3 linked regions of the Mytilus edulis genome follow. The protein of the gene in region 1 interacts with the protein of each later gene in a biochemical or structural test. Links are inferred from orthologs where the notes say so. Each region holds a gene or a part of one and is shown in the gene's direction. Other genes may lie near its edges.

Region 1 (10,134 bases):
GTTTGATCGTCTTTCTTGCTGAAGCGCTGTTCCAATGCTTTTTTTAAGGCCTTGGAATCATCATCAGTGTTTACCTTGCGAGCGTACTCAAAGCCAACATCGGCCTGGCAATCTGAGGCCTACACACATTTTTCCTGCTTTTCCATTGTCATCTATCGGCAGTTCGTTAAAATTGGTAAATGAACGCCTCCCAATTCAAGGGTCCTCTTCAATTGAGTTTTTGCATTTTTGGGAGCTGTGGGCTTCGGCTCCAGTCCCTTGCACCGATATTTTCTTGCCATCGGGTATATTCTCTCTCCAATGAGGAGTCTGAAGAAGAACAACTCTTTTGGTTTCCTCTGCCCTCTCCTTGGTCAGTCAGTGGAGTCAGCTTGCTGTTAATGGAAGCCTGTTAGAGCTCCAGGAGCTGACGAGGTTGTCATAATTAGAGTGATAAATGTGGGATTTGCCATTAAATCGACGGGGATGATACCGTAAGTAGGCACTGCATTCAGCATTGGAGAAACTTGATAGGATCCACTTGCAGCCAATTGTTTCTTTAATGATGTGCTGCTCTGAACCAAATATTATTGACTCAAAGTAGATGGTATGTGTGCGTAAGACGACACATAAGCCTTTTGCTGGTATCCTTGATTAGAGGTTTATAGTATGTTCTTAAATGGAGATTGTTGTTGAATAGTTTGAACTGTTTCGTGCAGGGCCATTGGCCCTGACATAGGACTTTTGACTTAAGGTGAAGACACCTTTAGCAAAGTTTGCGCGGTTGATGGTTCATGCGAGCTACAATTGGGGAAAGACCCAAGGCATGGATTTCGTTGTGTACTTTTGGTAAACTTGCGTTGTACTGGCTAAGGTAAAATTTTAGCTTAGATGATGTGCTCATTGCAGGCATTTTAACTTCTTTATTTCAATTGTCCACTAATTCATTTACAACATATGCCAGTTGTTGGAAGGTATCCTACTGTTCAAATGCAACTTTAAATTGAACTGTGTCTCCTTCCTCAGTTGTTTTCAGCTTGTCCATCCGTCTCACCACAACATTGAATATGTTATTGGTCTGACCATCCATTTCGCCAAGCAATTTCCACTATCCGTGTGGTCTACCCTATCTTCAGACTGTTGAAGTTGCTGAGATATTGCTCCCATCTGTTCGTTATTAAAATGCATTGCCTCTTTCTGTTCTGCTTGAATCGAGACCAACACATATTTTAGCAATTCGCTCTTCGCTCTGTTTTATATTGCAGTAAATCCAAGCTGTTCTTTGAGCATTAGATTTTCTATCTGCTAAAAATTCTTGGTACAATTGTTTAATAGTCATTTCTGAGTTGTCCTCTGTTAAAGCGTCTTCAGCTGTGGGTTTCTCCGTATCCCCAAGTGATTAAGTTTCTGCCATTTCAATGTTCTTGTCTTTGTTGTCCTCAATTTCTGCCATTTCACTGATATGTGTTTAAAAGATTTTCTATTCACAGTATAATATCTCAAATTTCAAAATATTGCGACCAAAGAAATAAGATAGGCACTGAATAATATCTTTAGGCAGATAAATCCCAAATCACAGCTTTTATGTGTGACCCAAGACAACAAATAGTGCAGCTTTTAATGAAAGCTACTACTACAGCTTTTGATAAAAGCTACTACTTTGTGTATGAAATAACAAGCAAGGCAAAATTAAAAAGGACAGAACTGGGACAAATACTAAATGACACTGTACATCAATAAAATTCTTATATTCAGGTCAATTCTCAATAATGAATATTTGCTTAGTTTTCAAGGCGGCCATTTTGAAAATAGCCACCATTTTGTATTTCAAAGATAGATCAAAACAAAATCTTGCTAAGTACACCAAGTCATTCAAATATGTTGATTTTAGTGCTTCCAGCATCTAATCCACTGTGCAATACTGGAAAATATTTTAGAACGTACGGCAGCCATCTTGAAATAATCCGCCATATTGAATTTTGAGGGTGGGTCCATAGCTAATATTGCTCAGTACAAAAAAAAATGTACCATCATGCAAAAATTGGTGCTTTCCTCATTATTTGAGCAATTTTTTCACCGATCGGCCGGGCTATAAAAGCTTCCAGAAAACCTACAAAAACTAAGACATTATTAAACCATCAATCCCTGATATTGCGTTCTTCATATCTAACAAACAAATAAAAGAAGGCTTTGACTTGCATGAAGCAAATATTGATCAAATGAAATTAGATATCCTGATTTAGTATATTCATCAAATAAGCTATAATTTTTGCATGTGTGAATTACAGAATTTATTGCTCAAATATTGTGAATTAATTTCGCTGCCTTTTTTCCTTTTTTCATTTAAAGTATTATTAACAAATTAGACCCCCACTTTATATTCCCAAATTTTCCAGGCCCCCTTAATTTATCCTTCCCACTTTCAGGTTACAAATGACCAGTCCCTTGAAAATGTAAACGAGTTACGATAAATATGTTATTTTAATCAGATTGAACCCCCCTCCCTTCCTGACAAAATACGAACGGTCGGTGCTTTAGTAAAACTGCATTTCAAATTCTTGGAGTGTTTGCCACGATGTTCATTTTGAATTTAAAAAAAAAGGGACAGTTATGGACACTTTTTGCCTTCACATAGGCGGATCCAAGGGGGCCCTGGGGGGCCCGGGCCCCCCCTTTCGTGGGAAAAATTTGGTTGAGTATATAGGGAATCACTGAAGCATGACTGGAGCGGGCCCCCTCTTAGGCAAAGTTCTGGATCCGCCACTGCTTCAATCAGGCAGTCAGAATGTAACATATAATTCAACAACGCCCATATGGATATTAACATATATATGTTAACATTTATCTGTTTTATTATTAATTAAAAAATACAACAACAAAACACAGATGTTTAGTACAAACCAGCAGGTCATAAAAACATGTATTTCTCAAAATAAGTCAGTTGTTAGTAAAAAGGATGTCCGAATACAGACAAAGGAAAAAACAAAGGAAAATTGATAGGATCAAGCTTTTTTGTGATTGGTTTAGCATTTGTTGATATATATCTGTGTTGTGATGTTTTATTTCTTGGCTAGTATAACATGTACCGAGAAATTAAACAGGCAATATATATGCCCGAAGTTTTAGAATTCGTTCATACAGTTTTGTATTATTCAAAATTATTAGTCAGTACAAGGATCACCAATCATTCACCTTTCATTTGATACCTTAACAACTAAAATATATTCTACATAGCTTTATATTACACCTTATGCGTAGAAACTATTTTGTTTTAAATATGTTATACTTTCCTGTATGTTTTTTTATAATGCTCGATTTGGCTGTGATACATCTTACAAAGTCTATCCTAATCATTTTGCCCCATATCTTTTTTTCTATTACAAATTGTTTACTAGTACTTCAGAATAATAAGCACTTTTACCAGTGAGCATAGAATAATTTTGGAAACCCGAAGACCTGCGCGGTACACAATTTGAGTTGTGTGTGCTCCTGATATTATTTATATATAATTTAAAATTGTTACAAAAATTTTAAAACTTGTGATCCCCCTTCTGTCATCCCATAAAAAAAAATATATGTTAAACTTATTTATTTTGAAGGTATGAATTAAGGTAGCAGAGGTTTGACGACATTAAATTCTCATAAATTGATTAATAGGATGACAAATAGATAAAAAAAAAAAAAACCACACAAACTGAACTTGAGGACTTGCTCGAATTCAAATGGAGCGTGACTTGGTGCGTCGACTGGGTAAATGACTATGCTTTCGGGTGGGGGAGGGGGGGGGACGTAACATTTGGAAAAAAGTAAAATAACAAAAATACCGAACTCCAATGGAAATTCTAAACTGAAAGTCTGATTTTTTTCAAGTCCTGATCTTGAAATAATAAAATAAAATAAAGACACCCCCCATCCTTTCCAAAGACAAAAAAAAATCATCCCATCATCTCTCAATACTTGTGTTCGTTACAACAAACCATACAATGCTTCGAAAATCTGCAAAATCTGAGACATCAAACCATCCATCCCTGATATAGTCGTTCTTCATGTCTAACAAACAAACAGAAGATGGCATGACTTGCATATAACAAATATTGAAATGAAATTTGAAGTAAAAAATGATAACACAAGAGATATAGAAAAAACATCTGAATCGCGTATTAGATATTCCTGCTGAAAATAGTCAATCAAATACTGATTTAGTGTATTCATCAAATTAGCTATGGTCGTATTGTAGTCTCTTTGACACGATTCCGCGTGTCTATTGTCAATTTTAACTATATGATTTTTGTAGGCTTGAAATATATTTATATAGAATTGTTCGAATCCTGTGAGCAAATTTTGATCCCCCCACACCCATTTTCAAGTATTGGAAAATTAGACTAAACATCTTTAAATTTTTAAAACTTATCAAGGTCCCCTTAACTTCTTCCCCTTTCTTAATGTTACAAATGACCAGTTCCTAAGTAAACGATTTACGATAGAAAGTGTGTTATTCATATTGAACATCCCTCCCTCCCCCAAGAAAAGATGAACGAAAGGTTCCTTAGTAAAACTGAATTTCAAATTCTTGCAATGTTTGCCACGAAGTACATTTAATGAAAAATGGAGAGTTATGGACACTTTTCTCATTCAATCCGACAGTCAGAGTATAACACATATGTCAACTATCTCAGTCAACTATATCTATAGCCTATAGAAGTACGAATATTAATATTTGTTTTTCTCTTTTTTTTAATTTTAAACATATAAAAATCAAATGTTTAGTACAAACCAGCAGGTCATAAAAAAACATAAATTTCTCAAAAAAAGGTCAGTCGGTTAGTAAAAGGATGTCCGAACACCGGCAAAGGAAAAAACAAAGGGAAATTGATAGGATCTAGTTGATATCTTTAGCTATATGGTGGTGTCATTTCTTGACTAGTATAGCATGTATAAATTGTTTACCTGAGAATAATGTCCACTTTTACAGTGGGTATACCATAATTTTGCAGTCCTGAAGACCCGCGCGGTACGCAATTTGAAGTTATGTGCTCCTGATATATATTTTTATCATGTTTTTTTATTTTTTATCATGGTTTTTTTTTTTTTTTTGTTCGAATGATGAATGGATAAAAAAAAAAAGAGAGATGTTGGTGTACGTTGACGAGACAGCAATCCATTAAAACAAAAATAAGACATATCGTCGCTGTTATGCAAAAACCTCGTATCTCAATTTTTTGTGGAAATCTTTTTATTGATTATTTAGAATTAAATATGTATGTTCGAAAATATCTGATCTTCTAACCAATCATTAACCTGAATTCTGACATGTGACGAAAAAGTGTAGTCGGATTGGTGAGACATTTTGTTGTTCGAAAATATCGTATCTCAAAAGAAAAACACACGGCACGGCAGCTGACATCATAACAGCTACAGTTTAATCAATTTTAGGTTCTCAAAGCTAATAAAGCTTAGAAATAATGTGAAAAGCTTTCAAAATACAATATCGGTGCAGACATTTTTGCTCGTCGATTGCAATGGTTAGAAGATCAGAATTTTTCGCACACAGTGGAACATACACACAGAATAAAAACAAATAGTAGAATAATTGCAGAAACAAAAACATAATATAATCATGTTCATAAAAAGATAACAAAATAAGAGTTATTTCTAAAGATTAAGAAAAAAAATCTTAAAAATTACAATTAAGGAAACTAAAGGCTCCCATCCAGACCCTTAGTTTGTTTGTTTGTTTTTCTTTTGGTCATGGAGGTGCGTGTCCTTCGATGATTTATCGTATGGAAATTGATAATTTGTCAATAACAATTTTAAAACTCTTGAAGTTTTCAATGTTAGTCCGGAATTTGAACGGTTCATTTTATTTTGTGTATTATTTGACATCCGGCAATTCAGCATACCTGGCAAAAAAAGTACGAAATTGGTACTCTCTGGGTAAGTTGACTGATTCTTAAACCAATGTATTTACTCTTTCTTTCTGCTGGTAAAATCTTGGACTTCCAGTAATTATTAGAGGTCAAAACAAAAGAAAATAAAGGAACTATTTGAACAGGTGTTTTCAATATCACTGCGCGTCTACTCCTATTTTTAGCAGGTCAACTCACCGGTAATAAACTTGGGAAATAAAACAGAGAAACACCTTCAACACACAATTACTGGATACAATTTTTGGTAAGAATTTATAATAATTTAGTACAAAAGGATGACAAATCGTCAATTCGTGACAACATTTTTACAAACTCTGAAATTAACCCTAATATCCACACCTGAATATACAGGTAAAACATGTAAAAAGTCATACTTGATAATTCCAGGTAAAAAGGGTTTTCTAAATTTTTTATCAATGACTTGTTTGCAGTATGTTGTAATCTGATATAATTCAAGGGTTTTTGACGTTTAAAATGATGTCAGAGCTACAAAAGCAAACTTTCAAATTTAGGTGACACACCCTTTCAATTCAATATAGATTATCACATATATTATAATACATATAGGAGATTATCTGGTAATTAATATCATTGTTACTGTTTAACCCACATGTCTATAGCTTGCTTAACAGGATGTGATACAGACAAACAAATATTGAAGGGGGAAGTTCACAAGCAAATGACAAGTCTATTTTATCATTAAATTTCCTTGTTTACTTTTTGCCAGTGATTGAAAACTCCAATAATCATTATAATGATCTGAAGTTTCAAATCCAAATTGAATGCATTGACAGAAGCAGCCAATGCATTCAGTGGCGGATCAAGAACTTTTTGTATGGGGTGCCGGTGGGGTGGGGGCAATGACTGACGGTGGGCCCTCTCCATTTATGCTTCAGTGATTCCCTATTCAATCAACCCCTGGATCCTCCTTTGGCAATGAAGGTTAAGTTTTTTGTTTTTATTTAGTTGTATAAATGACAATATCCACCACTGGTCAATGCTACACTTTTCAAATACATGTAGACCATGTAGACAAACAATTGTTTATTTAGAACATGATAAATAAGGTGGTTATTTTTCTCAATTAAATATGGTTTCATATTATTCAAGTTAGGTAAGATCTTTTAAAGCCAACTATACAGTATGTTTTTTCTCATTGTTGAAGACTATCATGACTATATATATATATGGTTTCCCATAATTCCACTTTATTTTTAAATTTTTGTTGTCTCATTGGCAATGACATACACTATCTCCTTATTTTCATCATGTTCATATTGGCACACAAACTAAGTATCAATCAGCAGTACATGTATGTATTTTAGAATTGCAAAGTCTAAACCAGTTTTATTTAAATGTTTTGTTGCTGGGCTTAATTTTCTTCAATGTTTACAAAACTTTATCACTTCTGTTTAATTTGCAAATTTGCTGAAGGTTAAATAAAATTGAGAATGGAAATGGGGAATGTGTCAAAGAGACAACAACCCGCCCAAATAAAAAACAACAGCAGAGGGTCACCAACAGGTCTTCAATATAGCGAGAAATTCCCGCACCCCGAGGCGTCCTTCAGCTGGCCCCTAAACAAATATATACTAGTCCAGTGATAATGAACGCCATACTAATTTCCAAATTGTACACAAGAAACTAAAATTAAAATAATACAAGACTAACAAAGGCCAGAGGCTCCTGACTTGGGACAGGCGCAAAAATGCGGCGGGGTTAAACATGTTTGTGAGATCTCAACCCTCCCCCTATACCTCTAACCAATGTAGTAAAGTAAACGCATAACAATACGCACATTAAAATTCAGTTCAAGAGAAATCCGAGTCTGATGTCAGAAGATGTAACCAAAGAAAATAAACAAAATGACAATAATACATAAATAACAACAGACTACTAGCAGTTAACTGACATGCCAGCTCCAGACTTCAACTAAACTGACTGAAAGATTATGATTTCATCATATGAACATCAGGCACAATCCTTCCCGTTAGGGGTTTAGTATCATACCATCATAACATATATGAGAAGAACATAACCTGTGTCATGCCAACAACTGTTTTTAGAATAAATGTGTTTAGTTCCGATGCAAAGACCTTATCAGTGACTCAATATTAACGCCAAAATATGCAATCTTTAATGACTTGACAACAGTATCGTAATTATATCCCTTCTTAATAAGTCTATTCAAAGGTTTTGTAAGTTTCTGAGGTGAATACTGACACCTTTGTGCTTTATAAAGAATATTACGATAAAGAATATATATATATATGGTGTGTCAATTGAACAAAGAATTTAATATTAATCCTTTCTTTCAACTAAAATAACCTCAGGTAATCAAATTGTGTACTATATAAGATAAAGGTTAAAAAATAAATATCTCGAATAACAAAAGATGACATAATTAACTGTAATTTCCTTACCTAGCACTTACCTGTCAATAACAAGTCAATTAACAACATGGTATACACCTGTCCTCACCTGGTGGGAATAAAACAATTACATGTACATGTAACTATAACACAATTGAAAAAGTTATAGTATTTCATGTATTTGTTTATTGATATTGGTCAATGGTGTCTATACCATTTGTAATGTATAATACACAGAGCAGTAATTAGTTGTCTACCACAATTCAATGACAGATTCTGAAATATCTTCTACTAATTTTAAGGTAATTATGGTGTCTGCTTGGAAAAGATTTGCTCAAATAACCAAAGATTCCATCATTTTACTTATTGACAAAATGCTCAAGGTGCATGCAGTTGCATTGGTTAATTTAAACCTCTCTCAGACTGTGATTTTTTAATGTCAAGTGAACTTTTTTTTTCTTTTTTTTTGTATACATATTTTTTCCCAGATTTATTTCATCATGTTTATCATACCCTAAAAGCCCAATTTGAGTTGACCAGTTTGACATTGACAAGAAATCGCTGCTGTGTATGATATTTTTCTCTACATTTAAATTTTTCATGGTAGTATTATAAAATGTCTATCTACAATCCATCATTGATTTTTATATCTTCAAAGTCTTGTTATAATACCTGTAAAAGATACACAATGGGTTAATTAAATCACTGTAAAATGGAAACAATGCTTTCATGTGAAAAAACACTAAGTCAGTGGATTTAAAAAATTCTAAACCCCCCCCCAGTAATAAGGAGATAAATAGCTTTATCGGAATGATTAGTGACATACAATGACATGCACATGTATTTTCTCTAAAATGCTTCAAAATTTCATGTGTATCTAAATAACAACAGATGTTGATTTCTTCAAGACACATACATGTACAAGAAGACCTTCTAAAATTTGTGAGGCAGACTTATTAATTCATTTATAAAATCCTTCAGCTCGTCATTCAGAAAATAAAAAAAGGGTCCTCTAATCACTGTTCATCCTAATGTAGATCTACAGTTGTTCATACAAGGGACTGTTCATGTCTTACTTGAGCATATTTAGAAAGAAATAGAAAGTTTTGTCTATGTTCAATTTGCAACCTCAGCCACTTCAAGGGAGGTAAGTCATATTTATTATCAGCATGATTGATAGTTGAAGATGTATACTTATTTTTCACTCTTTTAGTCTTTTAATCCTCAATATGAATATAAAATCATGAATAACAGAAAAAACTGATCAATAAATTATTTTTGCCATAAATTTGAAATGAAAATTTGTCTCGAGCAATGAAAATTTTCTGCAAAATACTAGATTTGCTTAACTTGTAATCATGGTAATTGAAAACAACACTTTTTATTCCATCAAAAGTGTTGAGGGATCATGTTTTTGAATCTATACTTTCGCCCTTCAATTAGTATGAATACATTGTTTCAGGTTTATAAGTTTTGGTTTAAGGTGCTCATGCAGTCATATGAACCTCAAATTTGTGATCATGCACTGATCTTAATATTTGAAACATGTTATCATATGAGATGGTGCTAATTTTAAGAATGTTTAGTTTACCAAATTCATGAAATTAGTGGTTTAATCCAGATTTCAATGTAAAATAAATTGGACATGAAATGTGAGATGAGCAGCATGTTTCCCAACAGACACATTCCAATGGACATGGTGTATAGTGATTATGTTTTTTATTTGGACAATATATTCTTGCTGCAACCCCATAAATGCACATTATATACACATTGACTAAAGCACTTTGTCATGATTTTAAGGCAATTATTTATAAAGAAAATTGTTCTTATTGCTAAGATAGAAAAAAGTAATG
Region 2 (10,577 bases), on another chromosome or scaffold:
CACATATGATACGTCAAAGGGTGAAGGCATGACAAATATCTTGTACAAAACTGTTATATCAGCTGTAGCAATCGAACACTATCATCTTTATCTAACAAGAGGTTCTTGAGAGCATTTGTCGCTCAGCTAAGTATTCATCAAATGGCCACACTCCAACATTAAACACTAGAATACTCAATATACATTGAAGACCTGTTGGTGACCTTCTGCTGTTGTCTGTTCTATGGTCGGGTTGTTGTCTCTTTGAAACATTCCCCATTTCCATTCTCAATTTTATTCATGACTCAAATTCTCTTTTTTATTGATTAATTTTTTTGTTTATAATTTCTTTCTACTATAGTTTTGCCCAAAGTGCAAAATTGCGTACAAAATCCTCATCCGTACAGGTGAATAACTCCTATGATTAGTGGACTGACAAAGTAGAAATTAATATTTACTCTCAATTCAAAAATCTCATTTAAGGGCAATAACTCCTTTGCTGAGTTTACCGACAGTTTCATGGAGCTATATTTGACTTATTTGCAGACCCTAATTGTCTAACTGTTTATTTTTGATTTGTGAAGTTTCTCTTTTTTACTTTAGTTAGTGGCCCAAAATACATACAAACTAATAAAAAAACTGATTTCGGGACAATAACTCCAATAAGGAGTTGACAGATAATTTGGCCATGTTTAAAAAAATGTAGCTGAACTTTTTTCTTCTTTTATAAATATAGTTTAAAAAAAATTAGACAAAAACGCAACAATTGTCATTTTATGGCAACATTAAAGGGTTGACAATTTCTTTGTTGTCTTATTTGTAAATCTTGTCTTGCTGATCTCTTTTTCCATTTTAGAGTTTCTCTCTATTTATAATAGTTTACAAACAAATAAAAACAGGCAAAACCACAAAAATGGTAAACATCGTGGTTTAAGGGCAATAACTTACTCTTACTATTACAAACAATAAATTAACAAACAACACACTTAAAAGTAATACCGTTTAAATGAATACTTTCACCGAAGTATTTATAATCTGTCTATATGTGACAATCGCCATCCAATAAGCCTAAGTAATATTGACGTATGCACTTCCGAGCAGTTTTCCTGTTCGGCAACGTCATAAAAAACACAGGTACACACGACAAATCTGAATTCCAATAAGGGCTTGGAAGCGACAGTTATAATATAATATAAATGATGCAATGACCGAAGCACAATCACCACTCAGCAATAAGTGCATCAAGCTAAAACACCGATTTAAAAGACAACATCAAACCTTTTTACTAAAAAAAAATCTTGAAACGCAAATTTGTCTGCACCAGTTTCAACCAAATTCCAGTAGACATTACTGCACCTCCTCAATATAAATCTGTTCATTTAAGAAAAAAATCAGCATTAGTTTTTGTTGATTCATGACATCCATCATTTTCAGTGACAAACAAAGGACGATAATTCAAATGTCAAGCTTAAGTTTTATGTCGTTAAATTGATTAGAGTTATCTTTCTTTGTCTGATTAATATAATGTAGCTCTATCATGTCTATATCAAGTCCAAATAATTTTCAAGACGTCATAATTATTTGGACTAGTCTATATCTACATGAACCATGACTATTTCATTTCAATGTGAAAAGAAATGTTTTTCAGTAACAAATCTCAGTGTATTCTTTTGTGTCTATACATGTCGTGCTGACCATCAAGGGCATTGATTGCAATAATAGGTATTCTTATTTTTATTGTAATATAAAACAATAAATTGTCGTCTACTTGCAAACTGTATAAATATCAATAGATACTCCGTCGTCATTAATAATCATTAACCTTTGAGAATCTTGATCAAATGCCAGACCCCAAGGATGATGTATTCCTTCGTCTAAGACCATGGATTTAGTTCCTCTGTTTGACAACCGATGGATATTTCCAGATTCGTACCCAGCAACAAACACGTGACCTAAGCCATCTGTAGCGAGTCCAGATGGACCAACCAACGTTTCAGATCTGCAGATAAATTGTGACCGCTCTCGCGCAATGCATTGGACTTCATCGCCGTTGTTACTTGTCCAGTAAATGGAGCCGTTTATTCCTGCGCTTAAAAGCAACGGGTCATATTTGGTGTTTATTTTGAAAATGGAAATTCCCGCGCGATCGAGAATGCTTATTTTGCAGTGTCCACTCCGGACGATGATTTGATCGTCAATGCAGGAAATCGCAGTGCATTTCCCGCCAGGTCTTATAAATCGATCTGGTCTACATTCACTGTCGGTGATATCAAAAACTTGTATACCCCTCTCGCCTGCTGCGACAACGGCTGTATTCCTGTCAAACAGGGCAACATCATGTGGAAAGTACAGCAATGGAATTTTCTCGGTCATTGACCCGTACAGGTTACATACAAATATAAATCTATTCTGCGCATCGCATAAAAGCATATGCTTCCCTGAGATAAAACAGCCACGTGAAACTGTGATATTTTCTCCTAAAGATGAAGACGTCGGGAATTTTTTGTATAGTACTAGCTGTATAATCGAGGGAGTTTGAGGTACAAGTTTTATTAACGACAGTTCACTTTCTTTGAAATTACTAACGGATCGAGTTGATACAGGTCTAGGTACAATCTTGCTCTCTGTTGGACTTTCCCATTGTTTGCTGGTCGGCCTAGGTGAAGTTGTTTTTTCAGTGAAAGCAGATTTGACTCGATTGATAACTTTAATATCGACCCAACCCATTGCATTGTAAAGCGATGCCAATTGTTCTTCGTTTTGGGTGAAATCGATTTCCAATGGTTTATATCTATCTCTGAAGTTACTTATGATATCTTCAGTTCTTGGTTTAGTCTGTTCAAACTTCTTTACAATTGTGAACTTATAAGGTTCAGAACCATTCTTTCTCATTAATTCAATATCACTATCGTGAATAGACATCAGGTCTTTATTATGTTGAAGCTGGGAAATTTCATCATCTATTTGTTCAACACAGGAGTCGTATTTCACACTGAGACTGTTTAGTAGTTCTTCTTCTAGTTTTGTTAGATGATCTATGATTTCAGACTTTGTTTTCTTAATTGTTTCTTGAATTGTCTTGTTTTGTTGATCAAGGTTTGCTAGATTTTCTTTCCTGGTATTTATCAGTTGGTTTAAAGAGTCGGCAAGTTTTAATGCTTGCTTTTGTAGAACATCAAAATAGTCGTTACTACTACTGCGCGGTCTCTCTGGCATTAGCTGCTCAATTGCAGTAATATATTTACAGTCCTTGTGTGTTTGTAACAAACAGGTTTGGCAAATCAGCTGGTCATGTCTATTGCAGTAGAAGGTCACTCTTAAATCGGAATGAAGATCACATAAGAAAGACGTAGCCATTAGAAATGATTTAGTATTCTTAACATCCCGGAGACGGATAAGTTTATGCGAGGTTGTGAATCTAGACTTTTTATGGACCTTCCCACAATCCTCACATAATGCTTCGGCACAGTCACAACACCAGTGTTTGGCTTCAACATTATCATTGTCCCTTAGACAAGCAGCGCATATTTCGATATTGACTTTCTTTTCCTTTTCCATCTGAAAGTGTAAAAAGTCATGTTTTCTATTGCTATTATAAACAACGGTACGCCTAGTAAATAACAATGGGGCACCTGTGTTATCAAAGGATTGAACCCTTTCCTTATTCCCTCGAGATGACATTTAAAAATTATCATGCATGAAAGTATATCAGAAATATGCTGGACAGTTCCACTACCAACACCAAATATATATGTAAGATAAGTTTCGCAGAATCAAATAATATGCCTGTACGAAGTAAGGCTATCTGAGCTTTGTATTATTCGTTGTTATTTGTAAGTATGTTTTCTGCGAGGGGTTTATTGCTGTTTGTACTAGTAAGTCATAGTGTGGTGGAAGGTTGAATATCAATGTTAATACCTTCTGTCATATGTATAAAATGGTTAGTAGCAATTGTTATTAAACTGCCACCAAATGTATAGCAGATTGGACAAGAAAAATTCTATCATAAGTGTATAAGTTCAGATTTATTATTTCTTCCATAGATCAACACACAAACGGATTGCTGAGCAAAAAAAAAAAAAAAAAGAAATGAACTCATAACCTTAGAAAATGCTAGATTAGAATGAGTTGAAAGTATGAGCTGACGAAAATGAAAGATAAAGAGGTCCGAATGGATTTACGGATTAGATAATAATTGGCAAAACATTAATGACAGTGAGAAATAGAACAACAAAAAAAAGGAATAAAGAATGGAATTTTCAAATATTAAGAAAATTATAGCTACGGTAAAAAAATACAAAAATTACAAATAAAGAAAACAGGATAACTGCTATAAAATGTATGCATACAGAAATGACAGACTCCCTCTAAAAATATAAATAAAATCCAGACACTCTTACTAGGCATTATCGTTTGAATTGATTTATATGTGGCATTTTGTGGCCATTTCTAGCTGACTATGAGATATGGGCATTGTTCAATGTTGATCGTTACTGTGACCTATAGTTGTAAATTTCTGTGTCATCTGGTCTCTTGTGAAGAGTTGTCTCACTTGGGCGTACATATCACATCTTCTTTAAATATACACCAAGTATACGCATGCAGCACTCATAACCACCCGTCTATATTTGCCTACGAAAGGAAAGCACCTCAGTTCATGTAAATAAAAAAGATTTAAGCTTGAAATATGTTTGTATAACGCTGATATCTTACCTTTCCCTTTTATTTTCTTTGAACTGTTTTAAGCTTCTTTAGATAAATTGTCGATATATTCCTATTATAATATGGTAAAACTTATATATGCGACAAAAGCACTGATGCGGATCAGTAATTGTTTTGAAGAAGTAATAATTGAAATTAAAACTTGAAATATAATCATTTATCAAATTGACAATAGTATATATAAACTAAAATAGTAATAGTCTGATATGTTTTGATCAAAAGTTATGAGATCTAATATAGTTGCCCTTTACCAGATTTTTTCAATTTCACACACGAAAAGATTACAAAAATATCACATTAGAGATAAAAGACTTATTCATGTTTCAAATTTTATTGTTTTAGGGGCCTTTGACAGACAAGGGAGGGAAAGGGGGAAGGTTCCTTTTGTCCCATCTTACGGTATGTATATATATAGTTTACCAACTCGCTCTCTATGACCGTGAAGGTTGTAGTTCCTGACGTTTTAAATTAATGAAGGTAAATTATATCCGAAACTGATTTATAATTTATAAAGTCAGGCATTTCGTTACCGTTTTTTGTTTTTGGATCATATATAGAAATCTGATCAAAATGAAATGTAATATTTATGACGACACGAGGACGGAGGTTCAACAAGAAAGTACACAGGTGAATTAATGAAAAACTTGATAGAAATCGTGTTTCCATGATCCTAGTCAAAAAATGTAATTATATTAAAGTAAATATGCTTCTTTTAGTAATTTTATAGGGTTTTAAAAGCATTAACCATGCGCATATTTTTTAAATTTCGGTCAACGTTTTTACTTAAAAAAAATTACAAAAAGAAACATGAAATTCTCAATTGAAAATTTTGTTCAGTCAAAACGCATGAAATATTTGTCACTGGACGAAAAGAAAACTTGAGAATCATCAATCAATCCGGCAATCCGTAATTTCATTTCAGTCAGGTTATGTCCATCGTTTCAGTTTATGGCTTTAAGTGTTGCTGGCATGTAAAACATAAATACTCAATGACTTCTGTTCTTTCTTTAATATAGAATAAAATACCATGTTGATTTTAATACTCATTTTCGAATATTCAAGTCCTTACCGTGGTTGGTTTCTTTTTAGTTTGATTTTGGTTTGTTTTGATGCATGATCGCCCACGAGAAAATGGGTACATGAATAACAAAGGGTAAGTGAACATTTCTATAAACTGTCAGACAAAAGTTAATAGATTTTTGAATTTCTTAAAAATTATGTGTTCCTTCATCCTAATTTATTCACAGTTTTGTTCACAGAAATTCGCTTTATTTTTGGATCACCTGATCTCAACTTCAGAAACGGGGTCAAAGTTGTTGAACCATTTCATTTCACTTTGGAATCCTTAAAATTGGTAAAATACAAACCAGGAAATGTTCTACTAGTTTAGAAAAATATTCACATGTTTTCAACTTGTAATTTCCTAATAAGGAACGGTTAATTGCCGAGATAATAGTGTGTATCTGAAATGTACATGCTACACGCCCCCTTTTACGATATAATATTGATAAAGTGTACCACTTTGGAATATCACAAAGTAATTATTATGTTATGAAGAAGAAAAAGATAATATTCACATAGATTAAGATTTTATACACTGCTAAAGGAATCAGAATTGAATACTTTAATTTCTTGTGTATCAATCATGTAAATGTAAGTTTCTTGTACTGTACACATGTACAATGATGTAGATGCAGGTAATATTAATTATTACATTTGTCAAATCTCCTTGTATAAGAATAATTTTTCAATGTTGACACTTGACAATTGTAATCTTTTGTACTTATTGTTGATGGTTACACTACATTTACAACTTGTTTTTACTATACCATGTCATTTACATACAGTTGTACCACATCTTCAATTCCTATATCTACATATAAACAAAAATTCTCCAAACCTCTTCAGAAGAGCATCATTGAAAATGGGTTAACCACAATTTTTCAAAGTTAAAAAAAAATGAGATTTTTTTTTAAAAAGACTGACATGTAACATAAATATCGGTACATATGAATTACTGCAAAATTGATGAATTATTTTATTATTGTTTCAGCTATTGTAGAATCATCTTATTTTTATGCCCCATTTACGATAGTAGAGGGCATTATATTTTCTGGTCAGTGCATCTGTTCAGCTGTCCATTCGTCCATCTGTCCGTTCGTCCGTCTGTCTTTAGGTTAAAGTTTTTGGTCAAGGTAGTTTTTGATGAAGTTGAAGTTCAATCAATTTAAAACTCAATACACATGTTACCTATGAAATGATCTTTTTAATTTAAATGCCAAATTTGATTTTTTACCCCAATTTCACGGTCCACTGAAGATAGAAAATAATAATGAGAGTGGGGCATCAGTGTACTTTTGACACATACAATGTACTTGGTTTTTGTATACATGTATACAAATGTACCTCATATATCTCTCATTTAATTTATTTTGGATTCAGATGTACATGTACATAACATCTTTGTTGTGATGTTATGCTATTGTTTCAGAAAAAGGGAGAAGGTTTGGATCCATTAAAACGTTTAATCCCGCTGCAAATGTTTGCACCTGTCCTAAGTCAGGAATCTGATGTACAGTAGTTGTCGTTTGTTTATGTAATATATACGTGTTTCTCGTTTCTCGTTTTGTTTATATAGATTAGACCGTTGGTTTTCCCGTTTGAATGGTTTTACACTAGTAATTTTGGGGCCCTTTATAGCTTGTTGTTCGGTGTGAGCCAAGGCTCCGTGTTGAAGGCCGTACTTTAACCTATAATGGTTTACTTTTTAAATTGTTATTTGTATGGAGAGTTATCTCATTGGCACTCACACCACATCTTCCTATATCTATGTATTGTTAATGAGCATTCACTTTAATGAGGGTCACTCCAACCTACATATGTATATGCATTTACATTAGCTTATTGCCCTAAAAAATAATATTAACAACCCAACTCTAGTTTTAAGTGTCTCCCCTTAATGATTTTAAAAATTTTTGAACAAGCACAACATTTGCACAAGGCACATACTATTTTTTCTGCTGTTAAAACCAATTTAAAAGTAATATTACCTACATTTGTTACTTCCAAACTCAATGATATAAGTTTTAAACCAAGTTGGGTCAAACCAAAGAATTGGTATTTTCTGCTTCTCTGCAAAACACCCAGAGAAGATATACTTGTAATTCAATGGTCCAGATAGCTTCCCAAGTTTGATGGCGGTGTCATATGGTATTTTGAACCCCCTAAAAAGTGAACCCGGGGTCAAAATACCATGCGGTAAAATGACCCCGGGGTCATTATACCGCATGGTATTTTGACCCCGGGGTCATTTTTCACATATGGTATTTTGAACCCCCCTGCGGTATATTGAACCCCCCTGTTTTTGATAAATAGTATTGCAGATAATCTAATTTACAATTTATTGGCTATCATTTTTTTTAATTTGTGCTTTTAAGTAGGGGGTTCAATATACCGCAGGGGGGTCAAAATACCATGGCTAAGTAAAATTTTCAAAATATCTTTTCCAGTATATTAAATACATACAAACTACTCATTGGAGTATTATAACTATGTTGAGGAGTAAGAATAGCTTGAATTTTTGAAATTCAAGGTCTATAGTAGGGGGTTCAATATACCGCAGGGGGGTCAAAATACCATGGCTAAGTAAAATTTTCAAAATATCTTTTCCAGTATATTAAATACATACAAACTACTCATTGGAGTATTATAACTATGTTAAGGAGTTAGAATAGCTTGAACTTTTGAAATTTAAGGTCTATAGTAGGGGGTTCAATATACCGCAGGGGGGTCAAAATACCATGGCTAAGTAAAATTTTCAAAATATCTTTTCTAGTATATTAAATACATACAAACTTCTTATTGGAGTATTATAACTATGTTAAGGAGTTGAAATAGCTTGAACTTTTGAAATTCAAGGTCTATAGTAGGGGGTTCAATATACCGCAGGGGGGTCAAAATACCATGGCTAAGTAAAATTTTCAAAATATCTTTTCCAGTATATTAAATACATACAAACTACTTATTTGAGTATTATAACTATGTTGAGGAGTAAGAATAGCTTAAATTTTTGAAATGCAAGGTCTATAGTAGGGGGTTCAATATACCCCAGGGGGGTCAAAATACCATGGCTAAGTAAAATTTTCACAATATCTTTTCCAGCATATTAAATACATACAAACTACTTATTGGAGTCTTATAACTATGTTGAGGAGTTAAAATAGCTTGAATTTTTGAAATTCAAGGTCTATAGTATGGGGTTCAATATACCGCAGGGGGGTTAAAATACCATGGCTAAGTAAAATTTTCAAAATATCTTTTCTAGTATATTAAATACATACAAACTACTTATTGGAGTATTATAACTATGTTAAGGAGTTAGAATAGCTTGAACTTTTGAAATTTAAGGTCTATAGTAGGGGGTTCAATATACCGCAGGGGGGTCAAAATACCATGGCTAAGTAAAATTTTCAAAATATCTTTTCCAGTATATTAAATACATACAAACTACTTATTGGAGTCTTATTACTATGTTGAGGAGTTAGAATAGCTTGAATTTTTGAAATTCAAGGTCTATAGTAGGGGGTTCATTATACCGCAGGGGGGTCAAAATACCATGGCTAAATAAAATTTTCAAAATTTCTTTTCCAGTATATTAAATACATACAAACTACTTATTGGAGTATTATAACTATGTTAAGGAGTTAGAATAGCTTCAATTTTTGAAATTCAAGGTCTATAGTAGGGGGTTCAATATACCGCAGGGGGGTCAAAATACCATGGCTAAGTAAAATTTTCAAAATATCTTTTCCAGTATATTAAATACATACAAACTACTCATTGGAGTATTATAACTATGTTAAGGAGTTAGAATAGCTTGAACTTTTGAAATTTAAGGTCTATAGTAGGGGGTTCAATATACCGCAGGGGGGTCAAAATACCATGGCTAAGTAAAATTTTCAAAATATCTTTTCCAGTATATTAAACTATACTTATTGGAGTATTATAACTATGTTGAGGAGTTAGAATAGCTTGAATTTTTGGAAATTCAAGGTCTATAGTAGGGGGTTCATTATACCGCAGGGGGGTCAAAATACCATGGCTAAGTAAAATTTTCAAAATTTCTTTTCCAGTATATTAAATACATACAAACTACTTATTGGAGTATTATAACTATGTTAAGGAGTTAAAATAGCTTCAATTTTTGGAATTCAAGGTCTATAGTAGGGGGTTCAATATACCGCAGGGGGGTCAAAATACCATGGCTAAGTAAAATTTTCAAAATATCTTTTCCAGTATATTAAATACATACAAACTACTTATTGGAGTCTTATATTAAACTATGTTGAGGAGTTAGAATAGCTTGAATTTTTGAAATTCAAGGTCTACAGTAGGGGGTTCATTATACCGCAGGGGGGTCAAAATACCATGGCTAAGTAAAATTTTCAAAATTTCTTTTCCAGTATATTAAATACATACAAACTACTTATTGGAGTCTTATAACTATGTTGAGGAGTTAGAATAGCTTGAATTTTTGAAATTCAAGGTCTATAGTAGGGGGTTCATTATACCGCAGGGGGGTCAAAATACCATGGCTAAGTAAAATTTTCAAAATTTCTTTTCCAGTATATTAAATACATACAAACTACTTATTGGAGTATTATAACTATGTTATGGAGTTAGAATAGCTTCAATTTTTGGAATTCAAGGTCTATAGTAGGGGGTTCAATATACCGCAGGGGGGTCAAAATACCATGGCTAAGTAAAATTTTCAAAATTTCTTTTCCAGTATATTAAATACATACAAACTTCTTATTGGAGTATTATAACTATGTTAAGGAGTTAGAATAGCTTCAATTTTTGAAATTCAAGGTCTA
Region 3 (10,676 bases), on another chromosome or scaffold:
GTGATTAAACAAGTTTGATCTAGTGCAAAATAGCAAAGGCGACCATGTGCTTCAACGAAAACAAGGAAGTATGTGAGTAGACAAAAGGAGAAATGTGCTTGTGCTTTCATGCAAGTGATTAAACAAATGTGATCGGGTAATAAAAACAAATTTGGTGTAGTGCAAAATAACATAGGCGACCATGTGCTTCAACGACACAAGGAAGAATGTGATAAGATACTGAAAGAACTGTGCTTGTGCTTTCATACAAGTGATTAAACAAATGTGATTGCGTGATTAAACAAGTTTGGTCTAGTGCATAATAATAAAGGCGACCATGTGCTTCAACGAAAACAAGGATATATGTGAGTAGAAAAAAAGGAGAAATGTGCTTGTGCTTACATGCAATTGATTAAACAAATGTGATCGGGTAATAAAAATAAATGTGGTCTGGTGCAAAATATCAAAGGCGACCACGTGCTTCACCGAAAACAAGGAAGAATGTAATAAGATATTGAGAGAACTGTGAATGTGTTATCAAACAAGGGATTTAATAAATGTGATTGGGTGATTAAACAAATTTGGTCTAGTGCAAAATAACAAAGGCGACCCTGTGCTTGAACGAAAACAAGGCATTATGTGAGTAGACAAAAGGAGAAATGTGCTTGTGCTTTCATGCAAGTGATTAAACAAATGTCATCGGGTAATAAAAACAAATTTGGTCTGGTGCAAAATAACAAAGGCGACCATGTGCTTCAATGAAAACAAGGAAGTATGTGAGTAGACAAAAGGAGAAATGTGCTTGTGCTTTCATGCAAGTGATTAAACAAATGTGATCGGGTAATAAAAACAAATTTGGTGTAGTGCAAAATAACATAGGCGCCCATGTGATCAGGGTTGGCAAAGTATAACCCGCCTCGGAATTCCCGGATGGGAAAACCCGGGTTTTCCCGGGCTGGGCAATACTCCCAGAAATTGGGAATACTGGGCATTACTGGGCAATATGATTTTGTTAGCTTATTTTAAGACAAAATAGTAAAGTCTTGGTGTAGTTTCATAGCATTACAGCTGAATATATACTTTTATACAGATAATCATTGACATTCATTTCTAACAGAATGAAAAATTCGATTGCGTTCCCTTCTATGTAGACAGAATACAAGATTTGCACATTTAAGGAAACCTTGTTTATTACGAAGCATTGTTTTCAATAATCATCCATACTTTGAAAAAAAAATATTTATTGCAATGTTTAAGTGAATTTTTAATTTCAAATGTACATTCATATTGCTAAATAAACAGCCTAAGGGGTCATGCCATTAACACTTATAAAATTGAAAGGGATGATTATTGTTACATAAACAAATCTGCATTCTAATCTGAATAATTACTAACTAATTAGTGACAGTACATATACATTTTTTAAATGTAATTTTTCTTACATGTAATTGCTAGTTCTTAAATAGGAGTTATATTTATTTTAATTACAGTTTTATCAATCCAGACAAACAAAAAAGGTTATATATATCTTAAATGTATAACATTTGTGTTTAATCACTAAATCCTCTATAAAATTCAGACCAGTATTTTATATTACCCAGTATTGCACAGTATTACCCACTAAAACCCAGTAAAACCCGGGTTTTTCCAGTATTTACCACTGGGCTGGGCAAAACTCATAAAACCCGGGTTTTTGCCAACCCTTCATGTGCTTCAACGAAAACAGTGAAGAATGTGATAAGCTTATAAGAGAACTGTGCTTGAGCTTTTATACAAGTGATTTAACAAATTTTGTCTGAAGCAAAATAACAAAGGCGACCATGTGCTTCAACGAAAACAATGAAGAATGTGATAAGATACTGATAGAACTGTGCTTGCGCTTTTATGCAAGTGATTAAACAAATGTGATTGGGTGATAAATCAAGTTTGGTCTAGTGCAAAATGATAAAGGCGGCTATGTGCTTCACAAAACAAGGAAGTATGTGAGTAGAAAAAGGAGAAAAGTGCTGGTGCTTTCATGCAAGTGATTAAACAAATGTGATCGGGTAATAAAAATAAATTTGGTCTGGTGCAAAATAACAAAGGCGACCATGTGCTTCAACGAAAACAAGGAAGAATGTAATAAGATATTGAGAGAACTGTGAAGGTGCTATCAAACAAGTGATTTTTAACAAATGTGATTGGGTGATTAAACAAGTTTGGTCTAGTGCAAAATAACAAAGGCGACCCCTTGCTTCAACGAAAACAATGAAGAATGAAGCATGTTATAAGAGAACTGTGCTTGAGCTTTTATACACGTGATTTAACAAATTTGGTCTGGTGCAAAATAACAAAGGCGACCATGTGCTTCAACGAAAACAAGGAAGAATTTGATAAGATATTTAGAGAACTGTGCTATCATACAAGTGATTAAACAAATGTGATTGGGTGATTAAACAAATTTGGTCTAGTGCAAAATAACAAAGGCGACCATGTGCTTCAACGAAAATAATGAAGAATGTGATAAGATTATAAGAGACCCGTTCTTGTGCAATCATGCGGGTGACTAAAAAATGAGATCGGGAAATAAAACAAATTTGGTCATGTGCAAAATAACAAAGGTGACCATGTGATTCAAAAAAAACAATGAAGAATGTGATAAGATTATAAGAGAACTGTGCTTGTGCTATCATTTAAGTGATTAATCAAATTTGGTGTAGTGCAAAATAACAAAGGCGACCATGTGTTTCAACGAAAACAATGAAGAATGTGATAAGAAATTGAGAGAACTGTGAATGTGTTATCATACAAGTGATTAAACAAATGTAATGCGGTGATTAAACAAATTTGGTCTAGTGCAAAATAACAAAGGCGACCATGTGATTCAATAAAAACAAGGAGGAACGTGATAAGACAAAAGGGAGAAATGTGCTCATGCCATTTTGCGATTTTTTTTTTAACAAATGTGATTGGGTAATTACCAAATTTGGTCTGGTGCAAAATACCAAAGGAGACCATCGTGATATCGTGCAAGTGATTAAACAAATGTAATTGGGTAATAAAACAAATTTGGTCTGGTGCAAAATAACAAAGGCGACCATCGTGATATCGTGCAAGTGATTTAACAAATGTGATCGGGTAATAAAACAAATTTGGTCTTGTGCAAAATAACAAAGGCGACCATCGTGATATCGTGCAAGTGATTAAACAAATCTGATCGGTAATAAAACAAATTTGGTCATGTGCAAAATAACAAAGGCGACCATCGTGATATCGTGCAAGTGATTTAACAAATGTGATTGGGTGATAAAACAAATTTGGTCTGGTGCAAAATAACAAAGGCGACCATCGTGATATCGTGCAAGTGATTAAACAAATCTGATCGGTAATAAAACAAGTTTGGTCATGTGCAAAATAACAAAGGCGACCATCGTGATATCGTGCAAGTGATTTAACAAATGTGATTGGGTGATAAAACAAATGTGGTCTTGTGCAAAATAACAAAGGCGACCATCGTGATATCGTGCAAGTGATTAAACAAATCTGATTGGTAATAAAACAAATTTGGTCATGTGCAAAATAACAAAGGCGACCATCGTGATATCGTGCAAGTGATTTAACAAATGTGATCGGGTAATAAAACAAATTTGGTCATGTGCAAAATAACAAAGGCGACCATCGTGATATCGTGCAAGTGATTTAACAAATGTGATTGGGTAATAAAACAAATTTGGTCATGTGCAAAATAACAAAGGCGACCATCGTGATATCGTGCAAGTGATTAAACAAATGTGATTGGGTAATAAAATAAATTTGGTCTGGTGCAAAATAACAAAGGCGATCATCGTGATATATCGTGCAAGTGATTAAACAAATGTGTTGGGTAATAAACAAATTTGGTCATGTGCAAAATAACAAAGGCGACCATCGTGATATATCGTGCAAGTGATTAAACAATTGTGATTGGGTAATAAAACAAATTTGGTCATGTGCAAAATAACAAAGGCGACCATCGTGATATCGTGCAAGTGATTAAACAAATGTGATCGGGTAACAAAACAAATTTGGTCATGTGCAAAATAACAAAGGCGACCATCGTGATATCGTGCAAGTGATTAAACAAATCTGATCGGTAATAAAACAAATTTGGTCATGTGCAAAATAACAAAGGCGACCATCGTGATATCGTGCAAGTGATTTAACAAATCTGATCGGTAATAAAACAAATTTGGTAATGTGCAAAATAACAAAGGCGACCATCGTGATATCGTGCAAGTAATTTAACAAATGTGATTGGGTGATAAAACAAATTTGGTCTGGTGCAAAATAACAAAGGCGACCATCGTGATATCGTGCAAGGGATTAAACAAATCTGATCGGTAATAAAGCAAATTGGGTCATGTGCAAAATAACAAAGGCGACCATCGTGATATCGTACAAGTGATTTAACAAATGTGATCGGTAATAAAACAAATTGGGTCATGTGCAAAATAACAAAGGCGACCATCGTGATATCGTACAAGTGATTTAACAAATGTGATCGGGTAACAAAACAAATTTGGTCATGTGCAAAATAACAAAGGCGACCATCGTGATATCGTGCAAGTGATTAAACAAATGTGTCGGGTAATAAAACAAATTTGGTCATGTGCAAAATAACAAAGGCGACCATCGTGATATCGTGCAAGTGATTTAACAAATGTGATCGGGTAACAAAACAAATTTGGTCATGTGCAAAATAACAAAGGCGACCATCGTGATATCGTGCAAGTGATTAAACAAATGTGATTGGTTTGGTGCAAAATAACAAAGGTTTCCATGTACTGCAAAGAAAACAATTAAGAATGTTATAAGACAAAAGGAGAAATGTGTTATCGTGCAAGTAATTAAACAAATGTGATAGGATTACGGCAGCAACAGTTTTAATTTCAGTTGTGAAGGTCAAAGTGAATTTTTGTATGCGCCGACGAACATTTATTTTCAATCAGTTGGAAACTAAAGACAAACGTGTCTTTCTTATTTTACATGTTATGTGTTGTATTATTATATATAAACAATTAAGGGCATAATAAACAATTCTAGAAAGTAACTAATATGCAAAAACATTAGTGGTGTAGAATTTTTTTCATTTGTTTACTGTACGCAGAAAATTAATGGGACTATATTTATTTTATTATCAAGAAAGTATATATAACTGTTTGGGGGGGGGGGAGTGTTGTAGCAACCCCATAGCTGATTTTTTTTCAACAATTCTTGTGACATCATGTCAGTTCTATTAGCTAGGTACCTATACCTACTGTATACCGCCAACTTGAAATGTATAATATTAGCGGTACAAAATCGGGCTAGTGCTTTGCTTAAATCTGCAAATTCAACAGTTTATTTTGTTGTTGTCAAATTTATTTGCCCTGAAAAAAAGAAAAAAGAATATATTAAATATTTTTAAAAGAATAACAATTCACAAATAAAAAAAAGTCATATGAAATGTGAGAAAATTACATGGGTGCTGAGAGATGATGGGAATTTTGAAGAAAGATATATATGAGAAATTTATTGCATTGTTGAAACTGTTTTAGAAAAAAAAATATTGTTTTGTGTTCGAATCAATTTTTCAACATGCTGGCCATTTTTATGTGGAGATAAATCTAACATTTCTACTGAATGGTAAAATAAAGATAAGGAATTTAAAGATTTTTTTTTTACTTTTTCTTTTTCTTTACTAGATAAAGGTTTCGTTAAACTGTCTTTTATTTTTGTTTCCTTAAAGAATGTTATATATAGCCAGAAGTCCATTACTAGACGTCTAGTAGATAAAAATAGCCTATTTTCTCAGATTTTTCTTTTTTTCTTTTTCTTTTACTTAATTCACAAAAGTGGTAGCTTGAAAAATAGCCAATGCAGTAATGTGAAGTTTTTGATATATTATTTTTAAGTTGGTATGCTTAATTCTACAGATCGTCAATTATTTAAAATAATAAGACCAATGTATGTACTGAGATTCCGCCAATTAAGACGCACCCCTTGATTGACTGCAAGGGTACAGCGGATCCATGTACACTCCCTAAGGATTAATGGAGATGTGTCCTTTACAATATTATCCCACCACCAGAACAATCCCCACCCAACACCGCCCAAGGAAGCGTGTAGGACACCGGGAAGTCTGTTATTATGGTGGAGGAAGCCGAAGTACTCGGAGAGAACCACCGGGCCACTCGGTGGAAACAGACAAACCAGAGAGATATCAGAAGATTGATCTCCAGGTCAAAGTAGGGGACAACTTTGACCAACCGAGGCCCCCAAAGTACCCATTCTAGTTTAAACTCCGGTCTGGGTACCAGAGATGTGTGTGAGAGGGTGAAAATTACCCTTCTGATGTACTGATATTTTTAGCACCCCGAGTGAGAATCGAACTCGGGACCTTCAGCACTGTAGCCATCGGTCTTAACCACTAGACCACGAACTCACATGAATTTGTACGGGAAAATTGAATTATCTCCCTTTATAGCAAATCTTCGAATCATTAAGCACGTGACCATAATTTCCTAAAATAGACATTTTCGTCACAACAAAAACATTATTTGTCATTCTAGAAAACACGTATATTGTCTACTTTCGCGACAAAGGTAATTATAACTGATTCTAACAAAACAGAAGAACACAACGTAATGTAAGTCGGGTTTTATAACACGAAAGTAGAATGGTCAGTAAGTTGTTCGTCTTTTTTCTGTCATTTATGTGATGGAAAAAAAATGTGTTGTCTGTTGACACATTGACCTATTTGTTGCCAGCTGTTCAGCCATTTGTAGAAAAAGTAAACATTCCATTTCAATGAAATTTATTTTCATAAGCAAGAGAAAAACAATAAGATCATATGTGTTGCAACAGTAGGCTGTATGACTTTTGCCATCAAAGTCATGCAATTTGGAACAAATTAAGATTGTGGAAATAGTTTACCATAAACTAAATTATAAATATACTGGAAAATAATCATACAAACATTACATAATTATAAAGATAATGGTCCCTTTTAGTTTATCTTTGATTCAAATATAAGATTTTTTGACATTTTTATAGGGTACCAATACACCTTGTTCATCATTATTGCTATTTGAAAAATGTCCGAGTTCTTCTGTAAGTTTTCCAGTCTTCCATCTGAATAACAGATGACTCGAGAATCTGCCCCACTTGAAGTATTGACTTCATACAATAATCACTTCCATATAGTGGCATCAGATATTTTGTATTATGATGTCAAAATTTTACTGGAACCTTTGTGATGTCCAGTAATTAATGGTGGACAAATAGCAATAACTTAAAGGTGTATTATCGAACTGTTTCCTTTGAAGTTTACCTATTTGTATCACAAATTTACCCCTCTTGCTGTCAGTTGCTTTTTAAGGTTGCATTTTGTGTGCCAGAAAATATGACAGCTTAATGTCTTTAAAGTCACATGCCCAACAATGACATCATGCCCTAATAACCGTTACATTTTGGAGCCATTGACGAAAATATTACAGTTAAATCTTTTACATGTATATGAAAAATACACAGCAGTAATGAGAAGCCTGCATAAATTAAATCATTGACACATGTTTTCCTCCAGCACAGCCAGTGTGGACACATGTGTCCTTTCAGCAGCAAGATAGTTAAAAGCAATTGGAATCAGCATGGGTTTATAGACCTTATCCTTATTTGGGAAAACTGCAGTTGAATTTGTCATGTGACTTTTATCACCAAGTGACGAAAATGTAGGCATTGTCACTTCTAACACATTTTGAGCAAACAGATGAAAAGTTTGATTTATACTGTACAAAATATTTAGGAAATTAAAATCTAATAAGATGGTGACCCTCCCTCAGTCGTCTGGGAATCAAGATAACGTACTTACTGAAATTAAATTCTTCTATACAACCCTACAGAATGACGATTCTGAAAGTGCTGGAAACTTTAAATAGAGCAAGCATACAGACGCACCTTCTATCTGATAAATGATGTCATATACATGTAATGACTAATGGTGTGTGAAATTGGCAATCTTTTCTGGTGAAAGACATGATTCTAGTTTTTATTTTGCAAAAACTATCCTTCAAATTTCTTCAAAATAAAAACATTTCAAACATTTCTGATTAATCCTATTTAGTGAATTACACTGAGCTTTTGCATTTTTTGCTTACAGATAAATAATGAGATTTGGTATGGATGATGAGCCCGATGTAGACAAAAGTGATCAAAGTAAGTATAAAAAAGGGGTGAAAGATACCAGAGGGACATTCAAACTCATAGACCGAAAATAAACTGACAATGCCATGGCTGGCTAAAAAAGATAAAAACAAGCAAATAAATAGTACACAATACACAATATAGAAACTAAAGACTATGCAACAAGAACCATGCCAAAAGATATATTTTAAAAGAGGCCAAGAGGCTTGAGAACACTATCTCAATTCATATTGTTTACAAACACTTATAATTTCCTAAATGTACAAACATGTACCGGTACACTATCCACTTGAAATTTAAGTGCATGCATGATATGTGTATGATCTACATCTAAATCATTTGATCATATCAACTTATTATTGATTCTTGTTAATCTTTGGCCAAACAAATGTGCAGGGATGGATCCGGACATTTTCAAAAGGGGGGGAGGGGTCCCAATTTAAATGCATTGATCGTAAAAAAAAAAAGGGGGGGGTCCAACTCCTGGAACCCCTCCCCCTCTGGATCCACCACTGATGTGTATGAATAGTTTAGAGTATATCTATTGTTTGTCTTCATGAACTGATAATTACCAAACTTAAAATAAATAAAAGTGACCTTAATTCTGTTTTTATCTGTGAAAATTTCAAATTAATGTCTTCACAATGAACAGAATTAAAATAATTTAGAGTAATTTAAAAAATAAAAGAAGTTAAACCCCAACATTTAAAAGATGATTGGCAGATTTTTACCTTAAAAAGCAATGCAGTAACGCCACAATAAATATCAGTTTAATGATATGTCATCAGTTCTCAGACTGTTTGCTAATATTTGAATTCTTTACATTGTAAAATTATTAAAACTTTAAATTTACAAATATAAACAAAGGTGATACATTATCATGGTTATTGTGTAACAGTCAAATATATCTTGTCTGATAGCTTATTTTTATTTTGTTTATCAATTGACAAGATAAGTCATGTATGATTAAAATACTTCTTTATGTAATGATGTAAGGCCAAATAAAAATATATGTGTGGTTCCAGTAACCCTACCTTCCCTACTTTTTTGCCTCAAAAATAGCCTACCCTAAAGATTTTATTATCTTTTTTCATTAAGCACTGTTAAAGTCAGAATGTTGCTCCCATAGACTCAATGTAAAAAAAACCAACATAAAATAAAAAAAAATCCTCACCTACCTACCCTAACTTTTTTTCAGATGTAACTGGAACCACACAGACTTTTTTATTTTGCCTAACAAGACTTATTTCAAATTTTAAATCACTCTGGTAACCGAAAATTGTAGTATTGATTTCCTTCATAAAAATAAATACATGTATTTGTGTTTCATTTTCACACAATTTCCTTGAATTTGATAGACAACAATAAGGATCATGAACTCATTTACATAAATAGCCTCTTTATCATCAGTTTATTGTTTTATTGGGGTAAATTAATATTATTAAAATTATTTTTTTGTGTATAAATTTTGATAAGGTAGTATCTGTTTGAATGTTTGATCGAATGTTTTAGTTCAGAAATTATCAATACAGCACTTTTTGGTTACTAAGTTAATTTAATGATAAAATGTATGCAGGATTGTTAATAATTTTTGGTCCATTTGGTTTCATTGGCACTCAGATGGACTTTGGTTCAGTAGATAAGATTATGTAATGTCTGAAATAGTACCCATTTTAAATGTCTGTATACAATTACATGAATAAGATTATAGATATGTACACAATGTATATATGTGTACATCGATTGTTTACTGATTGTTTACTACGTATGTGAGGGTTTAAAATAACTATTATCACTTCCTTGTTTGAAATAATGGACATGAAAAAATATTATTGAAGGACTTTTGAATATTCAAGGAATTACTGGTATATATTTACAGGTACATTTGAATAATATATATATAATTCTCACTTTTGTAAAGGTGTGTTGGTGCCTTTATCATGTTTATTTAAGTTTTCAGCAAAGTCGGTTCAATTTCAAAGTATTATTTTTTGTTGTTAAAAATTACAAGAAAAGAATCTCAGTTCTTAGAATGAAACAGAAAGTGAAAGTCAACTTCAAACATTTACAGTACAAAAATATAAATGATATCATGGATGTAAATTTTTGGCTACAAGATTTTGTATAAAAAATTGAAAGAAATAGAGGGGACTCTATATACATTTATACAGTGCTATATGTGTACATGTATCATAAATTAAGGTTGAAACAATTGTTTCCTTCCAGACAGGTTATAGAGTGTATATTATAGATAGTGATATGTACAATGTACAGTATACTGGGTCATGAATTGCTTTTCAGAACAGAAAGTAAAATTATTACATTGACAAAGTTTAGGATCCTTTAGAATGTTATTGACTCCAGTTTTAACATAAAGCTTGTAGTCTGTTGTCAGGGTAAGGAAGGGTTATATAGCAGCCTAATTTGAAAAGAGAAGTCAGATTGATCTATTTATACACTTAATGTCATGAATGTTTTAAATTTAAAATCATGGTTTT

Evidence for each region.
Region 2: the proteins of unconventional myosin-VI-like (region 1) and disabled homolog 1-like form a complex in vitro, tested with the Homo sapiens proteins (7 studies listed by BioGRID). The link is inferred for Mytilus edulis from reciprocal best matches to the Homo sapiens genes MYO6 and DAB2.
Region 3: the proteins of unconventional myosin-VI-like (region 1) and tax1-binding protein 1 homolog B-like form a complex in vitro, tested with the Homo sapiens proteins (5 studies listed by BioGRID, with this or other methods). The link is inferred for Mytilus edulis from reciprocal best matches to the Homo sapiens genes MYO6 and TAX1BP1.

Annotation. Positions count from the first base shown.
Region 1 is NC_092353.1:45,602,937-45,613,070, reverse strand, and holds the start of unconventional myosin-VI-like, read left to right. Parts: upstream 1-5,784; 5' UTR 5,785-5,913; exon of another isoform or gene 5,914-6,150; intron 6,151-9,259; exon of another isoform or gene 9,260-9,425; intron 9,426-10,134. UniProt on the Homo sapiens protein: Myosins are actin-based motor molecules with ATPase activity. Unconventional myosins serve in intracellular movements. Myosin 6 is a reverse-direction motor protein that moves towards the minus-end of actin filaments.
Region 2 is NC_092344.1:59,957,005-59,967,581, forward strand, and holds the start of disabled homolog 1-like, read left to right. Parts: upstream 1-5,771; 5' UTR 5,772-5,854; intron 5,855-6,021; exon of another isoform or gene 6,022-6,238; intron 6,239-10,577. Other genes in the region: uncharacterized protein, read right to left, coding at 1,744-3,537. UniProt on the Homo sapiens protein: Adapter protein that functions as a clathrin-associated sorting protein (CLASP) required for clathrin-mediated endocytosis of selected cargo proteins.
Region 3 is NC_092345.1:32,306,374-32,317,049, reverse strand, and holds the start of tax1-binding protein 1 homolog B-like, read left to right. Parts: upstream 1-6,473; 5' UTR 6,474-6,581; exon of another isoform or gene 6,582-6,625; intron 6,626-8,134; 5' UTR 8,135-8,141; coding exon 8,142-8,190; intron 8,191-9,803; exon of another isoform or gene 9,804-10,057; intron 10,058-10,676.